3 linked regions of the Tamandua tetradactyla genome follow. The protein of the gene in region 3 interacts with the protein of the main gene of each other region in a biochemical or structural test. Links are inferred from orthologs where the notes say so. Each region holds a gene or a part of one and is shown on either strand. Other genes may lie near its edges.

Evidence for each region.
Region 1: the proteins of UBE2M (region 3) and CAND1 form a complex in vitro, tested with the Homo sapiens proteins (2 studies listed by BioGRID). The link is inferred for Tamandua tetradactyla from reciprocal best matches to the Homo sapiens genes UBE2M and CAND1.
Region 2: the proteins of UBE2M (region 3) and DCUN1D5 form a complex in vitro, tested with the Homo sapiens proteins (3 studies listed by BioGRID). The link is inferred for Tamandua tetradactyla from reciprocal best matches to the Homo sapiens genes UBE2M and DCUN1D5.

The regions. Positions count from the first base shown.
Region 1 is NC_135333.1:135,243,160-135,250,654, reverse strand, and holds the start of CAND1 (cullin-associated NEDD8-dissociated protein 1), read right to left. Parts: upstream 3,090-7,495; 5' UTR 2,353-3,089; coding exon 2,285-2,352; intron 1-2,284. UniProt on the Homo sapiens protein: Key assembly factor of SCF (SKP1-CUL1-F-box protein) E3 ubiquitin ligase complexes that promotes the exchange of the substrate-recognition F-box subunit in SCF complexes, thereby playing a key role in the cellular repertoire of SCF complexes.
Region 2 is NC_135334.1:38,989,747-38,996,919, reverse strand, and holds the start of DCUN1D5 (DCN1-like protein 5), read right to left. Parts: upstream 3,083-7,173; 5' UTR 2,741-3,082; coding exon 2,655-2,740; exon of another isoform or gene 2,216-2,654; intron 523-2,215; coding exon 431-522; intron 339-430; exon of another isoform or gene 295-338; intron 1-294. UniProt on the Homo sapiens protein: Contributes to the neddylation of all cullins by transferring NEDD8 from N-terminally acetylated NEDD8-conjugating E2s enzyme to different cullin C-terminal domain-RBX complexes which is necessary for the activation of cullin-RING E3 ubiquitin ligases (CRLs).
Region 3 is NC_135342.1:120,811-128,748, forward strand, and holds UBE2M (NEDD8-conjugating enzyme Ubc12), read left to right. Parts: upstream 1-4,878; 5' UTR 4,879-4,939; coding exon 4,940-5,048; intron 5,049-5,958; coding exon 5,959-6,053; intron 6,054-6,159; coding exon 6,160-6,198; intron 6,199-6,304; coding exon 6,305-6,408; intron 6,409-6,708; coding exon 6,709-6,772; intron 6,773-6,864; coding exon 6,865-7,005; 3' UTR 7,006-7,391; downstream 7,392-7,938.

The sequences.
Region 1 (7,495 bases), on a different chromosome or scaffold from region 3:
AATTGTGATGTCTACACCAAATAAATAAATACGTCACTTATGAAAAAAATGTTAAAACAAATGCCTGTACTGAAATTATGCAGAAAATCCTAGAAATACTTGTCTTTAAATGTTCACCATTTTAGTTTATCCTTAAATGTCTGTAGTTTAATATACACAGCACTTTAATTCCAATGATTTGTCTGTTAAATGAATGGCTAGAGTTTTTTTTAAAGTCTTTTAAAAAGTGTTAATAAAAATGATAATGATGCCAAATTACTGGAAGTTATTTACCTTTCCTAAAAACATTTTCTACAATATTCAGCAACTCTTCGAAATATGTCGATATAATTTTAGATGAATAACATATCTTCTAAGAAATGTTTTGAATCATTAAAGCCCAGATTGGGTGATAAACCATTTTAATTTTAGCACTGACTATAATATAACTTAGTATCAGAGGATTAATATTTTTTCATAGAGTTTATAAAATAAAAACAAGCATGTATAAATCTTTACCTGAAGTTTAAGAAGTTATTTAAAGAAGCTTCCCAGTACATAATCACCTATGCAGTATCACCCCATCATGTAATTTCTTTAGTCTTTCTAAGCAAGTTACCAAATACTTGACTACCTTTCTACAGAAACTGACTATAATCAGGATGAAACTTAGCTCTTTTACAGGCTGAGCCAAACTGACAGAAAACGGTGGAAAATCACACCACATATGTTAAATAAATTAGTTATATACGTTCTGTGCAAATGTTTATTTAGATAGGGAGCAAGAAAAACTCCGAAGGAAATCAAACAGCATTTTAATATTTTTTTAAAAAACTTATCTTTCTCCCTTTAGGCTTCTGCTGTAGAGCTACACATATCTAATATTACAAAATAATCAAGTCACTTCCAAATAGTCAAAGCACTAAAATATTTAGTATTAGCAAACGAGTCTTCCCAAGTTTCAAATACAATACTTAAAAAATTTCAGTTAGCCAAACTCTTTAAAAACCATATTTGATTTTGAAGCCACAGAACCAAACTGTATGAACTTCTTTGGTCACTTTACTACACCAGTTCATCAATTTAATTAGGAACGCAATCACTGCTTTTTTTCACGGTTCTACTTGAACAAAACAGAAAATTTCCTTCCTTTGGATAAGATTTAAGCATGTTTCAGGTATATGCTCTTCAGCCATAATATTTAATTGGAGATAGTTTTTCTTTCTTTTAAAATGCACGCAAATTACGACAACCAAGTACTGTGAGAACAAAACTTAAAGGATTAAAAAAATAAAAAACTCTTTTAGATTGAATTATTTAGTAACTAATTTATGAGCGGATGGGAGGTGGAAAGAAAGGAATGTAACAATTAATGGAGGGCAAGAAAGACACCAAGGTAACCGGGAATATTCTTCAACATGCATTTTATCAAGAATTTGGAACCGACAGTTCTAGTTCCCTGGAACAGAACCTCTATAATAAAATTTCATATTCACCAACCTCATATAAGAAAACCCCTCTTTTTTCAAAAAGACCCATTTGCTTGGTTTACTTTTCTGTTTAGGGTTCAGCAATACACCCATTCGGCAGTGATATTGGATATAAATATACTCTACTGAAAACCCAAGTTCAGGCTGAGGTTTAACCTGACAAGGGAAACTGACAGAGATGCTGGCGGGAAAACCTTACAAGCAAAGTTTCCTCTACCCTGGATCCCCTCCCCTCTCTTTACACCTTCTCCGAGAGAGATAATCTAAAGAATATGTATGTAACTCAATCCTCGGAGAACTTAAAAAAGTTCATCTTTCAAGCTGAATTAGCCAGTCCATTCACACCTCCGAGAAGGGAGTCTGCTGCTGGGTCCCCGAGCCGGCAATAGCAAGGGCCCAAGCGGGCTGATCGGCCTAGCGCCTCCGGCAGGCCGGCGGATAGGCCAGGCTGCCCAGTCTCCAGGCCTAGCACTCCCCTTCCCCAACAATAGCAGGTGTCTTCACCCCTTCACGCTACCTGGGACGTGAGAATTACGTCTCGGAGACAGGAAATGCGGTAGGGACGACTGAGGACGTACAGTGAAGGGACCTAGGGCCAGAACGGACAACGGCCTAAAGGAAAAGTGGGGGAGTGAAGTGACGGGGGGCATTCGGAAGGAAAGGGCCGGATAGGATCAGTGAGTGGGTAGGCTGCCGACTTAGGGGAAAACGAGGAAACAGGTTATGCCCCAAAAGGTGCGGCAAGACCAGCGCAGAAGGCCAAGGTCTCGAATGAGGGCCCTTGAGATGGGCTTAGAGACGGATTTCGGACTCACCTGAAGTCCTTGTCGCTGGATGTCATTTTCTCCAACAAATTGGAAATATGGTACGAGGCGCTCGCCATGTTGACGGCCTCGATCCCGCCCGCCGCCGCTGCTGCTGCTGGGGCTCCTCCTTTCGCTCGCGGCGGTTCCCGCTCCCAGGGTCGCAACGCGACGCCGACGCTGACTAGGGAGGCGCCTAGGAAGGCTACCCCCTCCCCGGCGAAGCGTGGGCCTGTCCCGAGGGAAGCAAAGGATACGGTGCCGACCTAACGACGGCGCTGCTCGCGGGAGGACGAGGCCATGAGAGGCGGGGAAATACAGCAAGGCCGCTCCAGAGATCCAGACACTTCCACTGAGGCCTGCCTGGCTCTCACTCTGCGAATTCGCTCCGTGGAGCAAGCGGCCAAAACCCGCCTCCTTTCCAGCGGGGGCGGGAGTGACAGACGCGGGACGCTACGGAAAGCCCGGGTCAAGGTTCACGTAGGCCCCTCCACGCACGCTTCAGAGACGCTAGTTAAAGGGCACTCCTATTGGCTGATGTCTAAGTCAGTCTTCGCTTGAACGGCCTTTTTGGAGGCATGACTACGAGCAAACTGGGATGTTCTCGCGATACTTTAAAGCAACGGTTAAAGGAGAGAGGCGAGCACTACTCTGAAAATAATTTGAAGACTGTTTGTGTATGGCATTAAGAAAATAAAGTTTACGATTTTTAAGGATCATAAGATTTGAGATTAGTGCTAGTTAAGATATTAGCCTCGATAAGAACAAAAGAATTATTAGCGGGAGCTCTCCTTTCGATTTGACGCGTGGCCTTTCATCGTGGTGTAATAATGCCACGTGAAAACCACAAATCCCAGAATTCAGTCGGGGTAGCACTGGGTCAGAGTGTCATTGGCTGCAGGAACTTATAGCGTCCTAATTGGGTTCCGTGGGAGGAGTAACTGCTGGGATTTGCAGTCTGGCAAGGCAGCAGTGCTAGATGGAATCTTTGAATCACCACGTGCTGGGTTTTTGCGGCTAATTCGGGTTTCTCCTAACAGACTTTCTTGTTTAGGGATGTTTGCAGAATTGGCTGTAGCAGTTTGGGAAGGGGCATTACGGATTCATGAATCCTGGTATTCTTAGCAGAGGCCTTTAGCGACTAACAATATCCTCATCCTCAAAAGGCCACTGAGCCCGCCAGCTCGCCCTCCTTGCCTGCTGGACACACTGACCTCTTGCCATCGTGGAGCACCTCCCTACAGCAAGCAGGACCGTATTAAAACTAATGGGCCAACGACAGGTGATTGTATTCGAAGCCTACCCGTTTTTTTCAGAACAGCTAAAAGACTACCTTCTATAGTCAGTTGTTATATAGTTGATAATCCTGCAGCTGTGTATTTTATTGTCCCCCAAATATACACAAAAAGCCTTCGGAGATTAGATATTCAAATCATTTGTTTTATTATCCAAGTTTTTATCTACTTAATACTTTGGATTTTGAGATAAATTTTGTCACCAAGAGATAAACACCTAAAACTTTGTTATGGATTTGAGGTAGGTAGAATTGGAGCTAGCTGACACACTTTTCTAAAAGAAAAAGTAGAGAGGGCAGTGAAGGGAGAAGGAAAATGATGTCTCGTTGTTTCTCCTCTTGTTTAAAAAAAAAAGCCTTTAAATAGCTCCCTACTTCTAAGTACGTCAAAACAAATAAAATCTACCATTTCTTTATCTTTCTTTCAACTACATTCGTTAAATATTATTGTTTCTAAAAGCCAGGTACTGTTATAGGCAATGACAGTTAACACAACATAGGAAATCTGATCTGGCCTCACATTATATACCTAAATTCCTCTCATTACCCTTTGTCTATCCCCATGTATGTTTTTACTTTAATACTATTTTCCTCCCCGGTGATACCATAGCTCTTTCCTCATTTTACTTAGGTCTACCATCATTAGGACTTCTTTAATGAAACATTTCCTGAGTGCTCCAGCCAAATTAATTCCCTTCTGCTCTGAACAGTCCTTAATAATATACTAAACAATATTAATAATTACAATATTAATAATATTAAACAATAGTAATAATATTGAACAGTCAAATAATATTTAATAAGCTGTACATACACATCACACGCACAAACAGGCCATTTTTCTTGTGTGGACTCCAAGGCTTAAAATCTTAGGCATCTGGTGGTAACCCTTTTAACCTATATCCAATCAGACACAAGTCATCTTTTGTCCTTTTTCATGTGTAAATCCTTGCATTTATCAGTTTCCATCTGAAATATATTTGGAGTCAGAGAACTTAAATATAAATATTTGTGCCGATTGGTTGCTATTTTAGGTAGTTCATTTTAATCTCTCTGAGCCCTCAGTATCTTCAAGCTAAGGAAATGATTGGGCAATTAATCTTCAGGGCTGGGGGTTTTTTGTTTTTTTGGCATTTGAAGGCTCTGGAAATCCAACCGCATCTCCGTCATGACAGGAGAGAATTCTACCACTGAGCTCCCTTGCACCCCCCTTTCAGAGCTATTTTAAGAGTTAAATAAGATATCCCATATAAGTCCTTAGCATTTGACCTGGAACACAATAATAATATTTATACCTAATACATCTTGCACACTTAGAAAGGTACAGAAAAACATCTAATAAAAGTTAGCTATCATTATTATATTCTTTCAGGCTTTTGTTCCTATTCCCAAACCATTCTACACAGCCAGTTTAGGGTTGTCCAAAACGTTTTTGTAGTGTTACCTATTTAACACATTATATCTTTCTACTGCAGAATAAAGTCCATATGTTTTAGCAATCAGTGCCTCCATCTGACCCTAATCATTTATATTTTACCTTTCTCCCATTATTCTAATACAAGAATTGCCCCCACCAGCTTTTTATTTTTTATTTTATCTTTTTGTTTTTGTTTGTTTTGAGTCCCTCTAAAGACCCAACTACAAGTCTTCGGTACATAGTTATAATAAAAAAAGTTATGGATCAAGCACTGTATTAATTTATTTAATCCTCAGAACAACTCTATGAAATTATACATTTTAAGTATAAAGGCATAAGTATCAGGCATGAAGAGGTTAAGTAACTTACTAAAAGTCACCAACAAGGTTCAATTAGAATTCAAAACTAAGCAATGTTGCTTCATAGCTCAAACTTCGAACTGCTACTCTAGAATTCTTCTCCCAGCCTGGAAGGCGTTCCCTCTCCTCTATCCCTCTTTTTACGGTCTTGAACCAATCACAGTGTTTATAAGTTCACTACCACTAAAGCATAAGTTCTTTAAGAGTGTGTACCATCTTTTCCCTTTTGGGGAATGGTGAGAAAAGAGGGAAATATTCAACTTCCCTATTTGGAGAATTTCTGATATTCTCGCAAGCAGTGGGAACAACCAAATCAATAGGCGGAGCCCTGGATCTTGTTGTTTGCCCCTATGAAACTTATCCCTGCAAAGGATAGGCTAAACCTACTTAAAATTAGGCCTAAGAGAGGATACATAGGTAGTTTAGTAGTTAGAATGCCTGCCTTCCATGTGGGAAACTCGGGTTAGATTCCCAGACCATGCACCCCAGAAAAAAAAAAAAGTAAAAATTAAAAAATTAGACCTAAGAGTCACTCTCAGAGAACCTCTTTTGCTGCTCGAATGTGGCCTCTCTCTCTAAGCCCACACAGCAAACGAACTCAGTCTTCCCCCTCTACATGGAACATGACTCCCAGGGATCAATCCTCCCTGATAACATGGGACAGAAATCCTGGGATGAGCTGGGACTCAGCATCAAGGGATTGAGAAAACCTTCTCGACCAAAAAGAAGAAGAGAGAAATGAGACAAAATAAACTCAGTGGCTAAGAATTTCAAGCAGAGTTGAGAGGTTATCCTGGAGGTTATCATTATGCATTATATAGATATCCCCTTTTTAGTTCATCATGTATTAGAGAGGCTAGAGAGAAGTGCCTGAAAATGTAGAGCTGTGTTCCAGTAGCCATGTTTCTTGAAGATGATTGTATAATGATATAGCTTTTACAGTGTAACTGTGTGATTGTGAAAACCTTGTGTCTGAAGCTCCTTTTATTTACAGTATGGATAGATGAGTGAAAAATCTGAATAAAAAATAAATAATAGAGGGAACAAAGGTTAAAATAAATTGAGTAGATTGAAATACTAGTGGTCAATGAAAGGAAGGGGTAAGGGGTATGGTATGTATGAGTTTTTTCTTTTTTCTTTTTTCTTTCTTTTGCCGGAGAGATGCGATGTTCAAAAAAATGATCATGGTGATGAATACACAACTATGTGATAATATTGATCGTATACCATGTATAGAATGTTCTATGTCAACAATATTTATATGTTTGTTATTCTTTACAATTTAAAAAAAAAGAGTATGTACCATCTTTAAACCCCTTCTGCTTCTTTCAGGTACTTAGTTATGGCAAGTTTGTAATGGGCGCTAATAGTATTTAATTTTTTGTATTCTTGACCACTTAGAGATTTAATTTTTATATCACTTAATATAGAATGTTATTAAACAGTGGAGTAGTGCTTTCACTTAAGGATCTGTTAATGCTAAATTAATTTTAGGTACAAAAGGAAATAAGTCTGAATAAGGCTAACCTCCAAGAGTTTTTTTTCCAGTCAGTGGTCATAAAAGAAAATTAAGATGAGAGAGCAGGAAAAATTGAATCCTTCAAGATGTCGTGAGTTTCTTTTAATATTAAACAGTAGTTTGGCTTAGTTACAAACACTTACTGACTGCTGACACAATGCCAGGCACTGAACTGTACAGTAGGGATGTAAAGGTGAATAAGACATATTCCTTAACCTTGAAGACCTTTCATGTTGATCAAATCTTAAATTTCATATTAAAAAATTACTGTATTTTAGGCAAAACTAAGAAAAATTCTCACCCTAAGTATATAATCAGAATAGTTTTCTATTTATGTTCTATATTGAAAATAAGGAATAGATGTTAAATAGATGCATTGTATTTAAAATTTTAATTATGGTAGAATTGAGGTGAGATGAATATTAAGAAATACATATCCATAAAGAAAGGACAATGAAAATGTTATGTAATTGAGTCATTGAGTTATCTGAACTTGTTGGGTTACCAATTTGAAATGTTGTCTAGTTATTTTGTTTATTAGGTACCCTGTCAAATATTTTCCATTGCCTTTAGTGATATCTTAGACCCCCTAACTTTCTAGACCCTTCAGTGTTAAAAGTCCAATCCAGTTTAG
Region 2 (7,173 bases), on a different chromosome or scaffold from region 3:
TCCAAGTTTTAAATCTATACTGTGTCTCCCAAAAGGTTTCAAATATGTTAGTTTCTGGTTCAGAAAAATTTCAAAAGAATATTGAATGGAGAAAATAACAAGTATGTAAAGTAGAAAATGCTTTACTATCTATTTTATGTTTCCCAGAATACCAGTTTAGCCAATGAATGTAAAGTAATAAATGACTATTTCTCTGTTTACAAAATAAAGGAGCTATTCCTCTCCCACTAAATATATACAGACTATATAAAGAAATGTCAGCTTAAAAAGGCACCAAATTCTTAGTATACCCACAATTCTCAGTCTTGACCCTGATTCCAGCACACAGCACTAACACACAGCAGGCCTGCAATAAATAATTTATTAAATGAAAGAGCCAAAAACTTTTTAAAAGCACATGATTGACATCTTCTTACATTAATTTCATTACCTGCATACTCATAAAACCAAGCCAGGCACTTCTTGCTTGAAAAATGTTCCTCTCCACCTATTAGTCTAGCAGGGGGTTGGGATCTGCAATAGCTTAAAAACACACAAATGCCCAAGATTTTTATCAAATCTCAACTCTTCATGCAAAGCTAAGTTCAACTACTTCAATTCAAACTAAACAAAGTTTGTTTTTTTACAGTTGGCATTATAGGAAAAAAACTGGAATTCTTAAGTATTTGCAATTTCAAACAGTAGTCTATAAATAAGAATTTCTGGCTTTACAAAACCCAAATGCTACTTTGCTCATTATCACATTCCAAAAATATCAACTAAAATTATTTCCCCAGATTTCAAAGGACTACAGAGAAGCTCAACCTAATGGTCCCAATGCAAAAAGTGGTAGGTGAGAAAGTACAAATCTTTATCCAGATTCTGCCACTGATTTGCACAAATATTACTTTTCTATATAACAGACATACTCCAAGCATTTTGAAAACAAAATCTTACAAAGCATATTTTGATACTTTAACTCAATACTGCAAAATAAAATTATACATTAAGAGTTGTTTAATGTCTACCGAACTTATAAATTTTTAAAATAAAAGATGATTTAGGATATATGGGTATAATCAGGTTCCACAGATTAAAACAAAAACAACAAAAATCTCTAAAAGATAGCAGTAGTCCAAATAATTGGGCCAAAACTATTAAATCCCTGTGTCTATTTTTAAGCCATATTTTGATCATTACAAGTTGGGAAGTTCATAAATGACCTCTAGGATGTAAACGACTTCAGAAAATATTTTCTCAAGGAATTCCAATAATTAAACTGCCCAAATGACAGAATGCTAAAACTTGTGCAATAGAGTAATGCAAAATAAAGGAACCATATTTAAATATTTAATTGATAGAGCAAAGTATCACCTGAGCTCTAATAATATCGACTGCTCAGCTATTTTAATGTACTTAATTAAAATTTTAAAAATGTGTTCATTTTTTCAAATCAGTGATTCCCAGCTAACTTAAAGAATTATTGATTTACTATGTTACCATTGGTTGCATCTTGTTACTGCGCAAAATCACAGCATTTTTGAACATTTGAAAATGCAATTACCTAATTAACTTTTATACTTTATATATTTAACATGGCCACATGTTAAGGTAATAAAAAACTAATTTGCATATGTTTTATAAACATGAGCTAGTAAAGTAACCATATGAGATTTCAGTGTGAGGTACCAAATGATGTAAGAAGAAAAACATCATCTTACAGACTAACAGCGAAGGAATAATCATATTTAAGCAACAGATCCCTCTTTATGGAGAGCTCTATTATTTCCACTTTCCAATACTGACTACTGTCTTTCTCTTAATGGTAGCATCTGACATTGTTACACTGAATGCCAACCATTCGTATAGTAAAAAACACTCAATAAGGGGATTAAAAAGAGCGTTTCTCACACCTAAATTCCAAGTTTTTTGCAGCATACATACTGCTGTGATGCCTCAATGATAAGCTACAATAGGATAAAAAAGCTGTAACTACGGTTCTGATTGGTCTTTTCCTCCAACAGGACACAGAGTACAATAAGTTCCCAGATAATTATTAATATTTATATTGAGAGCTGGCAGCGTCCTGAATGCTAGACAACAAAGACCATGCAGGGCTTTCTAAACTCTGCAGATAGGAACTTGGCACAGGTGCAAGCCGCCTGCTACGACCGGGTTAGGCCACTCTAAATATTAAATGTGAAGGCCAATTATAGCATAGAGTTTTCTTTTCTACCATTCCCAAGGCAGTTGTCAAGATCCTCACGCTCCGGTCCTTTCTTCAAACACTGTACAGACATTCTAGATATGATCCTTCTGGGAATCTGTACCCACTTCTAAAGCTGGAAAAAGGTGAGGGAAGGGTTAAAGAGTAGGGGACAGGATGAAAAAGGGCAATTTACAGAAATACGCGACCCTGTTTTCCACCCTCCAGGGCCCTTAGACTCTAATGCGGGGTGATTCTTCTAGTCCTTCTACGAGCGCCAGAGCGCAACACTAGCGAACACGAGGTTGGGAACGGAGACTCGCGGCGTTCTGAAGCCACTACCTAGGTGAATCAGAGGGGACTCACTTCACCCGCGCCGCAGCCCCGGAAACCGGGCCCGCCTCCTTCCCCTCCTGCTCTCCAGCAAAGGAGGAAGGAGGAAAGCTTCAGCCGTGGGGGGAGGTGGTACCTGGAGATTTTACACTTCTTGAGGCCTCCGTCTTCCGCTACTGCCGCTGCCACCCCGGGGGATTTTCTCTTCTTCTTCACCGGCATCTTCCGCCCTCCCCGGTAGGGCGGCCAGGGGAGCCGGGGAAGCGGGTCGTTGTAAACCGGAGACCCCTCAGCGCTGGCACCGGGTTCCCAAAGACAGCAGCAGGCGGAGGAGCAGAGTCGCCAACCCGCGCCGGCACGACCCAGCCCGGCCGCCGCTCGCTCCCAGGTCTCTTCCTCGTCCTTCCCTGCCCGGGACAGTGGTCGCTCTTAGCCGATAAACTCTGCGGTTCGGTTTCACCGGGAGGAGATACGGGGACAGCACAACACCTCAACCAGTCACGGATTCCGAGAGCAAGCAGCTCAACATGACCCGGATACGAATCTCTGGGGGCCGGAAGTGACGTTACCACAAAGCCGGTCGCGGAGCGGGGCGTGGCTCTGGAGGCCGGAACTTTGGGCAGTAGAGGAAGATCAACGCGGTCAGATTGCAGCTAGCGGAGGAGTCGGGTTGTGTTGGCCAAGTGAGTGCATGTTTCCTAGGGTATTCTGACCTTTATCGTGAAGTTACCAAACCGTTCTAATGGTAGGAGTCATCATCCTACCAGGAGATGTTTTATGAAACGGTTAATACTCTGCGGTTGGCGTTAAAAGTAATGTGGTAAAATAGACCAAGTTTCCCTTTAGAGATATTTCATATGGTAACCTCACGTTAACTGTTAATGTCCCGGACCTCCACTTACCACTTTCTCCTGGAATAAAACGTGACTCTACAATTTCTCTTTTCACGGACCTCCACCCACAGTTTAAAGACAGTAGGTGCTAAAACGTAGCAAACTTGGTAGAGAGGATTCGGGGGAAAATTCTATGGGGCTTCCCCCAACGCCTCGCTGTCCAAAACGCACTAATTTCGCCACCTCCTTTTTCGTGGAAATCCTGTTCATTAATAGGATTTATTGTCTATAAAGATTGTATAGTAGAAGCTTTTCAGTCAATATATGTGTAAAATAAATTCACCTCTGTATGCTATCTGTGATGATGGCAGAGGACTAAAAGATCTTTAAATTCAGCAACAGTTAATGTGGTTGTTCTGGTGAGACTGCCTCAACCTTAGCACCCTAATCTGTCAGTCAAAATGTCATATTATCTTAATGCCAGTAATTGGTTCAGAATGGGTACGTGACCAAAGCAAAGCCATTTAGTACTAACTGACACTAATTGACATCAGGAAGCATATTATGGCGTTAGAGCTGAGAGTTTGTAGGGAAAGAACAAAAACTTTTAGAAAAGCTCAACGTCCAGCAGAAAGACAAAAAGCCATAACATGGTTTTATGATATGAGCTGTAAATCCATGATATGCCATAGAATTTGTAGTTTATGAATGAATAAATTTACTATTTTGTTTGTATTGGTTATTTAACAACTGAGAATGTTAACCCACTTAAGAATACACTAAACAGAATCAGATCAAATGTCTAAATATAGCTACACCTACAGAAAGTAGAAGAAAAAGAAACATATTAAATAACATCACTAGATGCAATTAACAAAATCTAGATTGTCCAAAAAGTCTACAGGATAAATTACTAAGATTCTTTAACAGATTATTAGAGGCGGGGGTAGGTGAAGGAAATTAAAAGAATTAAACGTCAGTCATTTTCAATGTGTGATTCTTATTTGAATATTTTTTTCAAATAAGCAATATAAACAAAATTATGCCATTTATCTGACAATTTGAAATTTCAATACTGGCTGGATATTTGATGAAATTCCAAACTTGGAAAACCTGTCTGTAGTGACAGAAAGGATATTAGTGCTGTGTGGGACATGGAATGGAGTAGAGGTGGGGGACAAAATTGATTGCAAAGAGGCACAGAAAAACTTTTTGGACAGTGGACATAGTCTCTCTCTTGATTGACCTGGTGGTATGTACAATTGTCAAAACATTGAATTATATACTTAAAAATGTTTGTCCTTTATTGTATAAATATTATTCCTGAATAAAGTTAATATAGAAAGTACAAACCAGGTCAAACAAAGCAAAACAAGTGAAGCAACAAATCAATAGTAGATAAACCAAGCTTATTTCTTCAAGAAGTGAGCTGCAAAAGCTAAATGGACCCCTTTTTCTAAGGAGGAGAAAAGAAAAGGAAAAAAATGCAAAAGTTTGGAGACAAGGACCTCAGAGGACAACAGACAAGGATTATCCTTCTGGAAAGCAGAATCAGTATATAATTAGGGACTTTCCTAATGCCTGCTGGGCTGCATACCAACATTGTAATGGACCCATGACTATTGTACATCTTCTGTTTTATTTTCTAAATGGAAACATTTATTGTGATTATTATACCCCTTCTCCACCATTGAACATTGGGTGGGAATGGGAAGCAGATAATTGTCTCTTAAATCATAGGCCACAAGGTGTGCTGGTTTGAAAGGATTATGTACCCTAGAAAAGCCATATTTTAACCCTGATCCATCTTGTGGAGGCAGCCTTTCTTTTACTCCCTTTTAAAAGATTAAAAGGTTGTAGGTTGGAAACTTGAGTAGATTATCTCTTCAGAGATGTGACACACCCAATGGGGGGTACTTAACCTTTGATTAGAGGGAGATGTGACTACCCCCATTCCAGATGGGTCTTGATTAGTTATTGGAATCCTTTAAAAGAGGTAACATTTTGGAAAAAGCTTCAGAGCCATGACAGCTGCAAGAGCCCACACAGCCAGAGACCTATGAAGGTGAAGAAGAACACTCCCTGGGGATCTTCATGAAACAAGAAACCTGGAGAAAAAGCTAGCAAATGTCGCCATGTTGCTTTCCAGTTGAGAAACCCTGAATGTCATTGGCCTTTTTGAACAAAGTTTTCTTTCCCTGGATGCCTTAGATTGGACATTTCTGTAGCCTTGCTTTAATTTGAACGTTTTCACGGGCTTAGAACTATAAACTTAAAATTTAATAAATCCCCCTTTAAAAAAGCTGTTCTGTTTCTCATATATCATATTTTGGCAGCTTGCAAACTAGAACACTGGGTTATAAGGAATCACTTTTAGGCCTAAAGAAGAAGACCCCACCCTCCTGGAGATTCTGGATATTGAGCTGAAAGCAGTGACTAGATAAGAGCCTACTTGCTTCTACAGAATTAAAGAAAAAAAAAATAAAAGACAAAGTGTTGAATCTATGTATGGTTTCATTCACTCAATCTGTTATTTAAACACTATGTAATGACCACTTTAAACAGGAACTGTGCTAGGTTTAGGTGATGTGACTCTTGCCTTCATGGAGCTTACAGGTTGGAGGAGGGAATATATGTAAACTATCTGTGTTTAAGAGAATTTTATGAATGAAAAATAGTGCTCAATATTCTATGCTTGTCATTGTATCTAAGGGATGACAATCTCAAGCATCATAACTAACATGCCCACCATCTCTTCATTACCTTCCATGGTGAGTACTACTGTCACCATCATAACTCCATTCTCAAAAAGTAGCATTCCATCATCCCAATTACTCTCACAAAAGGGGCATTTTGACATTATAACCACATGTGAGTAGAACAGAAATGTTTAGTTAGGGTGTTTCAATCTTTTTTTACTGTTTGCCAACTTATGGATAGTACATTATTTTCCATGAAAAAAACTGCCTATAGTAGAGAAACAAACTATGACAGGGTATTGTGGTTCTTTGTTGTGTAGTAGAATTTTTTTAATGAAAATAAGAGGAAGAAAAGGGAGAAATGAAACATTTACCATAAGCAGAGACAAATGTGTTCTAGTTTCAGATCCAGAAACATTCAGTGACTTTAAGGAAGGCATGCAACTTCCTTTATCTTTGTCTTTCATCTTAACCTGCTATTACATAGAAAGATGTGGAAAAAGAAACAACTAAGAAATAACCATCTATCACAAATGGACATTTGCACGCCAGTGTTTATAGCAGCATTATTTGCAATTGTGAAGAGATAGAAACAGCCAAAATGTCCATCAACAGACAAGTGGCTAAACAAGCTGTGGTATATACATATGATGGAATAGTATGCAGCTGTAAGACAGAATAAAGTTATGAAGTATGTAGCAACATGGATGGACCTTAAGGACATTATGCTGAGTGAGATTAGCCAGAAACAAAAAGGACAAATACTGTACGGTCTCACTGATATGAACTAACATTAATGAATGAACTTGGAGAATTTCAATTAAGAACAGAGATCATCAGGAGATGAGATAGGGTAGATATTGGGTTATGGAACTGAAGGGGTACAGATTGTGCAACAGGGCTGATTGTAAAAATTCAGAAGCCGATAACACAATACTACCTAACTGTAATACAATAATGTTAGAACACTGAATGAAGTTGAATGTGAGAATGGTAGAGGGAGGAGGCCTGGGGGCACAAATGAAATCAGTAGGAAAGATAGACAATAAAGACTGGGATGGTATAATCTAGGAATGCCTAGAGTGTATAATGATAGTGACTAAATGTACACATTTAAAAATGT
Region 3 (7,938 bases):
CACTTCATCTACACTTGCCTCCTCGCCCATCCTCCCTCTCAGGTGTCTTCAGAGGTTTAAACAAGCAAATTTCAGGTGAGGAATCGCTAAGCATTAGGTTATTAATGAGTAATTAAGAGAGTAAAAAAAGGCATGGAGGTAGGAACTGCAAGGAGCAGCTACATCTCTGGGCTGGAGGAACAAAGGAAAATACTGCAGTTTGGGAGTTCTGATTGAGTCCCCACTGAGCTGAATCTCAGGTCCCTGAGTGGGGTTGGGAGTGGGGGGCACTGATGTCTGGGGCAGGGGCCTCTGGGGTCAGGGGAGGGGCTAGGGCCCTGTATTAGTGAGGGTTCTCTAGAGAAACAACCAACAGGACAAAACTGTAAATATGAGATTTTATAAAGTGTCTCATGCAACTGTTGGGACATAAGAGTCCAAAATCTGTAGGGCAGGATGTGAGCTGGCAGCTCCAATGAAGTTCCTCAATGAATTCCCCAGGAGAGAGGCTGGCTGGCTGAAGAGAGATTCTTCTGAACTCTCATAAAAGCCTTTGGGTGATGAAGCATCACTCATCGCAGGAGACAGTTCCCTTAGGTGACTGCAGATATAATCAGCCATGGATGTAACCAACATGCTCGTGATTTTAAGTCCATGAAACATCTTCACAGCAACAGACAGGCCAGTGCTTTCTTGAACAGACAACTGGGCACCATCATCTGGCCAAGTTCACAGGTGAGCCTGACCATCAAAGACCCAACTCCTGAGGAAGAGACCTAGTCAAGGTTTTCTCTGGATGAGGGGAAAGAGCAGGTGAGGAGCTGGTTCTCAGGGGTCACGGTCCTTTTGGAGACCCAGCAGGGTCTTGGCACTTCTGACAGCTGAGAGCCCAGACTCTCACTTGGATCCACCAAAAGCATACCCAGTTTGGTTCACTGTCAACATCATGCCTGGCTCATGATGTCCTGCAACCTGTACTCCCACTCCAGCTATACTCTCCCCAGGGCTGCCTGGCCAAACTAATTTCCAGGCAAGGACCTGGACCCCACCAGTTTTTCCCAGCCAGCCAAGGTCATTTGAGGTGCAGCAGGAGTCACGAGCTGGCACATGGCAAGCCAGTGCTGGTCTGGAGGTGTGTGTGCATTTGTAAAAATTAGAAGTCATTTCCTAGATTTAAAAGCTGGGAGGTTTTACCCGGTGTTCTAGTCTGCCAAAGTAGGCAGTAGGCAACACACCAGAGATGGATTGGCTTTTAATAAAAGGGGATTTATTTCATTAAAAACGTATAGTTCTTCAGAGGAAAGGCAGCTAACTTTCATCTGAGGTTCTCTCACACAGGAAGGCACAAGGCAATCTCTGCTGGCCTTCTCTCCAGGCCTCTGGGTTCCAACAGCTTTCCTGGGGTGATTCCTTTCTGCATCTCCAAAGTCCTGGGCTGAGAGCCGTGAGTGCTGAGATGAAGTATGCTGAGCTGCTTGGGCTGTGCTGCGTTGACCTTTCTTTTAAGCATCCAGCAAATGAAATCAAAAAAATTCACTGCAGCAGGCACTACCCCTAGCTGACCGCAGATGTAATCAGCAACAGATGAGCTTCACATGCCATTGGTTCACGTCCACAGCAAGAGAACTAGCCCCCTTCACCTAGTCAAGTTGACACCTGAACCTAACCACCACACCTGGAAATCCAGATTCTTATACAATTGTCTTTAATTCCCAGAGGTTTAATTCGCTGAGGCCAGAGGTTCCTGCAGATGCCACACTAGGCCAGAACAGGGAAGGGAGGTCTGGTGCAAGCCTCAATTCACTGGTGGCAGGCTCTTCCCTTCCTGGTCCCTTGCATAGCGCCGCACAGTCTCCCAGATACTGGGAGGTATCCACTAGGAATCCATTCAGCAAAAACCTCACATGAAACAGTGGAAAGCAACTCAGGTAAATGTGGATAGATAACCGCCAGTGTGGATTCCACATCCTGCAGTCTACAAAGCTGAGATCTCTGTGACCCTCAAGGCTTTTCTCTACGCTGTTGTCTCTTCTCCCTCAGCTTCCCTTTCTGCCTCTTTGGCTAGGACCTTGACACAGTCCCCTTCCTACTTATGAGTGCTAGGAACGTGAGTCTTTCATTCTCCCACTCTGTGGGATTGAAGGCAGAATCAGAGAAGGGGTCAGTGCTCAGCAGGGTCCACCCTGAGCCCTAAACTCCAGGTCAAGGATCTCACTGGGTGGGTGTCAGGCTGGCCTCAGATTGGGGGTTTCCAGAAATCTCTTTTGGAGATCTTTGTATTCAAGAGTCAGCCAGGACAGTAGCACAGTTCTTGCCTGCCATGACGGAGACCCGCGTTCGATTCCCGGAGCCTGCCCATGCCAAAAAAAAAAAAAAAAAAAGTCACCCAGGAGTGCAGGTAGACCCTAACACTTTCAGTCACCCCAACACATATGAGGTCAGGGCCTTGGCTTCAGGGAAAGCTGACAAGCCAGGCTGGGCCAGAGGTTTTCCAGAGAGCCCAGGGGTTAGAGAAGGCATGCTCCCATTCCCCATCTGCACATCCCACCTGGTCCAGTTCCCAGCCACTGCCTGAGTCAGGACCAAGCCCACTTCCTATGGCCACTGTGTTGTCCATAAAAGCAAAGTCAGCAGAGTCCCCTGCAGGGGTTCTCCTATGTGACACGGGGGCGGGGGGGGGGTGTGTGTGTGTGATCCCTAAGCTATGTGATCACACCTACTGTCCTCTCCAACTACAAAGGGACTTTCAGGGACCCTGGGCCGGGCTCGGCAGAACAAGAGGGGTAAGGAAGCTAGCCACAGTTTGGGACACTCACACGGGCCTAGGAAGGTCACTTCAGGGCAGGCATGCATGCACAAAAGGGTACATGAACTTTATAAATCCTACATTCCTATAACATAAATTTTTTTTTTAACTCATGACTTCTAATCACAAACAAAAAGAACAAAAAAGTGCCCGTGTTTTAATCATCTTGGTGTTGTGAAGTACTTAAAAGGAAATGTGTTGATACCAGTACACAAAATGTGAAACTTCACACAGGAAAAATGGCAACAAAGAAAGGCATGGAGAAAGACACCAGGCCAAGGGCCCACACCCAGAGCCAAGAGCAGTCCATGGATCCACAAGCCACTTCTTCACCTTCTTGAAGAAACACGGGAAGCAAAGCATGAGCCCCCACTTGAGCGCGATTCTGTCCTCTCCGCCGATGACACCCTGCAAAGCCTCCGCGAAGCTAGGGGTTGAGAGCGTGGGCTCCGCTCACAACGTCAGCAGGGCCGAGGTCAAAATGGCTACTAGGTTTCACACGGCCTCAGCCATAGAAGGAACTCCCCACCCCGTTCACCCAGAGCCGGGTCGGCCAAGGGGTGAGCATGGCAGAGGTGAGGGCGGCCCTCCGAGGTGAGAGCAGCAGACGGCTTGGGGTGGACGGCAGCCGCGCTGTGAAGCGCTGGGCGCTACTTCGGCGAGGTGACGTGACCGGGCCCGGCGCGGATTTATGACCAGTCGGCGGGAGCGGCCCGTGAGCGCACGCCCGCCGCTGGCCCTCCTGGACCAAGGAACTGCGTCTCCCACAGTGCTGCTGGAGGCGGCCGCGTGCTGAGGCGCCACGGTGGGGGATGCGCCGGGCTGCCACGCTCTGACACTGCAGAGCTGAGCACCGCAGCCCGGCCACCCACCCGGGACCCAAGCCCCGCTACCATGACCGCGGGCTCGTTGCCCTAGTGACGGCTTCCTCCCGCCCCCCGAGACCACCGAGCGGTGATTGGACAGGACGCTGAGGCGCTCACGGCGCATGCCCGGAGGCGCGGAAGGCACTCCGAAGGGCTCTGCGCAGGAGCCCCGGCCCCGGCCCAGTCGGCGGGTCCCCAGCATCCACTCCGACTGGCGAGGTCTTTCCGACCATCCCTGTAAATCTCCATGGTGCTTACCACTCTCTGCCACAATAAGTATTTTGTTCGCTAGTTCTCCTCAACAAGAATCTCCAGGAGTGGGGATCTTTGAGTTTGCGATAGAACATTGAGGATGCGCGACCTCGCACTACTGGCAGCGTGCCAAGCCTCGCCCAGGCTCCGGACCGCCGCGATCACTCTGTGACCTCCGGGCACAGAAACCTCGTCTGACCCAAAACCCGCAGCGGCTCTGTACGCGTGTAAGTGGGATGGCCACACAGCGCGCGAGGCGAATCTGCCCCCACTCAAAGATGGTGGCGCCGCCTCCTGCGTGAGCCCTAAAGAGAGCCTCCGGAAGTACCCGCGACGCGTCACGGGCCCGCATGAACGGAAATACCCGAGCCCATCCGACGGAGCCCGAACCCCAAATCCCATTGCTGAGCAACGTGAGCGCGCCGAGGCGGCACGGCGGCAGCTGCGCAGGCGCAGACCACAAGCCGGTGGTGAGGCGCCTAAGCGGGCAGGCGGCGGAAATAGCCGAAGCGGCGGGGCGCCCGAGGCCGTTGCCGATCTCCGCGGCGAGTCCACTGCTGCCCCTGGAGCAGATCCGCCTCGAGGACACGTCGGCCGACAGCGCAGTCACCGCCTCCTCCTCAAATCGTAAGCCACAGCACCTCGCGGAGGGAACGAGTGAGCGAACGACCCGACCGACAGAGCCCGGCGTCCGCAGCTGGGCCTAAAGAGACCTGAGCGGGCGAGAGGGAGGGAGCGGCCGGGCGAGAGGCGGGGCTGTGCGCGGCCCGAAAACAGCCGAGTCGTCCCGAGCACCGCCGAGCGCCGCCGAGCGCGTCCGAGGAACCGGGCCAGGCCGGAGCCGGACTACGGGAGCCGAGGCGGGCCGCGCGGTGGGCGCGGAGCGGCGAGGAGGGCCAGGCGGGCGGCGGCAGCGGCGGAGGAGGAGGCCGCGGCGGCGAGTCCGAGGAGCGGCAGCGGCGCGGGTGGCGGCGGGGGGCCGGGTGACCGGGGTCCCGGGCCCCGCGGCGGCGACGGCAGCGGCGGCGGCGGCAGGATGATCAAGCTGTTCTCGCTGAAGCAGCAGAAGAAGGAGGAGGAGTCGGCGGGCGGCACCAAGGGCAGCAGCAAGAAGGCGTCCGCGGCGCAGCTGCGAATCCAGAAGGGTAGGGGGGTGACGGGTCGGAGGTCAGGGCCTGGCGATAGGGGGTCGGGGGGTGTAATGGGTCTCCGCAGACCTGGGAATTCGGAGGCAGGGCAGGGTGGATTGGGGGGATGAGGGAATTAGGGTGGGCAGTGGGGTAATGCGGGCGTCGAGGGTCAGAGATGGGGGTTAGGATATCAGAAAGGCCAGGTGTCTGGAATTAGGAACCGGAAACCTGAGGCTGAGGGTTGCGGTCCAGATCAGGGACCTGCGAATCTGGAGGACAGACGGGAGCCTGGTTTGGAGGTGACAGGTGGAAGAGGAAAGGATGGTGGGGGCTCGGGATAAGAGATAGGAGTAGGAGAGGAGTTAGGGTATCATAGTGTCGTTCCCAGGAATCTCAGAGACGGGGGCGCTGGGGTAGGCACATCTTGGAGTAAAGCAGAAACCTGGGTGATAGGCAAGAGAAGATGAAATAGCGAGGTTCCAGGATTGGAATGAGGGGATAGTTTACCGTATCAGGGTGAGGGGCAATTACTTTGATTTTGGGTGGATAGGGATATGGAGAATGGAGGTCATGGATGAGAAACATGGTATTTGGAGTGATCAGATGCTAGGGGCCAGGGTTGGGTGTATTCGGGATCAGGAGCACCCCAGTTTTGGGAGTTGAAGATATGAGCTATGTATACAAAAGAGTCAGGGCTTGGTTTAGGTTGGGAGCCAGAAGACACAGCCACATTGGAAGATGCACATTTGGGATGTACTGTGAATCCAGAAGGGCCTGGGGTTTGGGGGCCAGACCCAGCAGGGAGAGGATTGTGGTATGGGACACAACCCTAGACTGGATTCTGGTGGAGAGGCTGTGGGGGCTCTCCTGGTACTTAACGTGATGGCCTTTCTTTCTGTCTACTTTCTCTGCTGTTCAAACCCAGACATAAACGAGCTGAACCTGCCGAAGACGTGTGATATCAGTTTCTCAGATCCAGACGATCTCCTCAACTTCAAGCTGGTCATCTGTCCCGATGAGGTGAGAGACTGCACAGGACAGGTAGACCTGGGATAACCCTACCATGAGGAGGGGCTCTGTTCTGTCCACCAGGCCCTGCTGGACATCTTTTTCTCTCTTCTCCCAGGGCTTCTACAAAAGTGGGAAATTTGTATTCAGTTTTAAGGTGAGTCCTGGGTGGACATGGGTAGCTCCCAGGGCTGAAGAGGGCGCACCTGAGGCTTTAGCCTCCTCTAAGGCACTTACCCACTTCCTCTCTTTTCCTGAGCCAGGTGGGCCAGGGTTACCCACATGACCCCCCCAAGGTGAAGTGCGAGACAATGGTCTATCACCCCAACATCGACCTCGAAGGCAATGTCTGCCTCAACATCCTCAGGTGACGATGCCACCTCTGCTGACTGCTTGTAACGCAGCCCTGCCTGCTTCCTGGCTCCTTGTGACCTCATGGGCTCTCAGTCCATCTACATCCCTTCTCTCCCACACAGTCCATGTACCTTTGTTGCCTCATTCTCATGACATGGTCTTGACTTTCTCTCTGGCCTGTTCTTTGTACACTCCCCCCAGCCTCTCACATACCCACTCTCCTGGGTCTTGGACCCTGACCCTTCAGGCCTCAGGAAGGACTGATGTAGCTGCTAGTTTGCCAGCTCCTGACCCCAGTGTTCTCTGTCCACAGAGAGGACTGGAAGCCAGTCCTTACGATTAACTCCATAATTTATGGCCTGCAGTATCTCTTCTTGGTGAGTAGAGACAGGTTTGGCCAGGAGCTGTGGGGTGGGGGTCAGCCCCTCTGTTTCTAGGGCCTACTGACCTCTACGTGTGCTGGCCACAGGAGCCCAACCCTGAGGATCCCCTGAATAAGGAGGCTGCTGAGGTCCTGCAGAACAACCGGCGGCTGTTTGAGCAGAACGTTCAGCGCTCCATGCGGGGTGGCTACATTGGTTCCACCTACTTTGAGCGCTGTCTGAAATAGGGTCAGCGCTTGCCCTGCCCTGCCAAGGCCACCAGTCTTGGCGTCCCCTGCAAATATTTATTGGGGTCCATGGGTGGGGGCCGGGGGCGGCAGTCAGTAGGGGGGTCCCCTGCCCTGGCCTTGTCTCCCCTCCCTGCCACCCGTCCCTCCCGTTATTTTTTTTTTAACCACCATGTGATTAAGGTCGGCACTGCCTCCCCCGACCCGCTCAGCGATGGGAAATGAATTGGCTTGTCTAGCCCCCCCCCCCGCGCTGGGTGCTATCCAGCCCCCCATTCTGGGCTCCTGGGCAGGTGGATGAGGGGCCTGGGTAGCCGGGGCTCGGCACCCCACCCCTCTGCCACTGGAGGTCCTACCAGGCTATTAAAGGGGAATGTTACAGCATGGCCTTCGCCTCTTCCTTCTATGGGGAACAACACGCGGCCCAGGGGGGCTAGTGGGAGAAGAGTGTTCACGGGTGATATTGGGGTGCCCCGGGCAGGCTGCCCTGTGCCTGGGGCAATCCTGGGTGCAGTGGGAAGACCAGGCCCCAAACCTGAAGCTGACATAAATTTGCAGCGTGCCAGGCAGCTTGGCGAGGAGTCTGTGCCGTCCCCTGCTCTGCTTTACGCTGTGGGTGGGCCTACCGGGAAGGCTTGGTACAACCAGTTCCGGCGGCCTGGGTTTTGGCCCTACGGGGCCTACCGAGGCGAAGGGAGGAACTGAGCCCTCGGGTGGGTAACGGGAAGGAGCTCAGCTTGACACGGTGTGGCATGCGGCGACCGAGACCAGGGACTGGCGCCGCTGGAGCCCTGCAACAGCCTGGGGCTGGCCGCAAGAGGCCGCGGTGCTGCTGCCCATGCGCCCCGCCGCGGTCGACTGAGGCGCCTGCGCACGCGCACTCCTGCCGCCTCCCAGCATTCCGGGCGCGGGTGGGGCTCGTGACGTCAGATC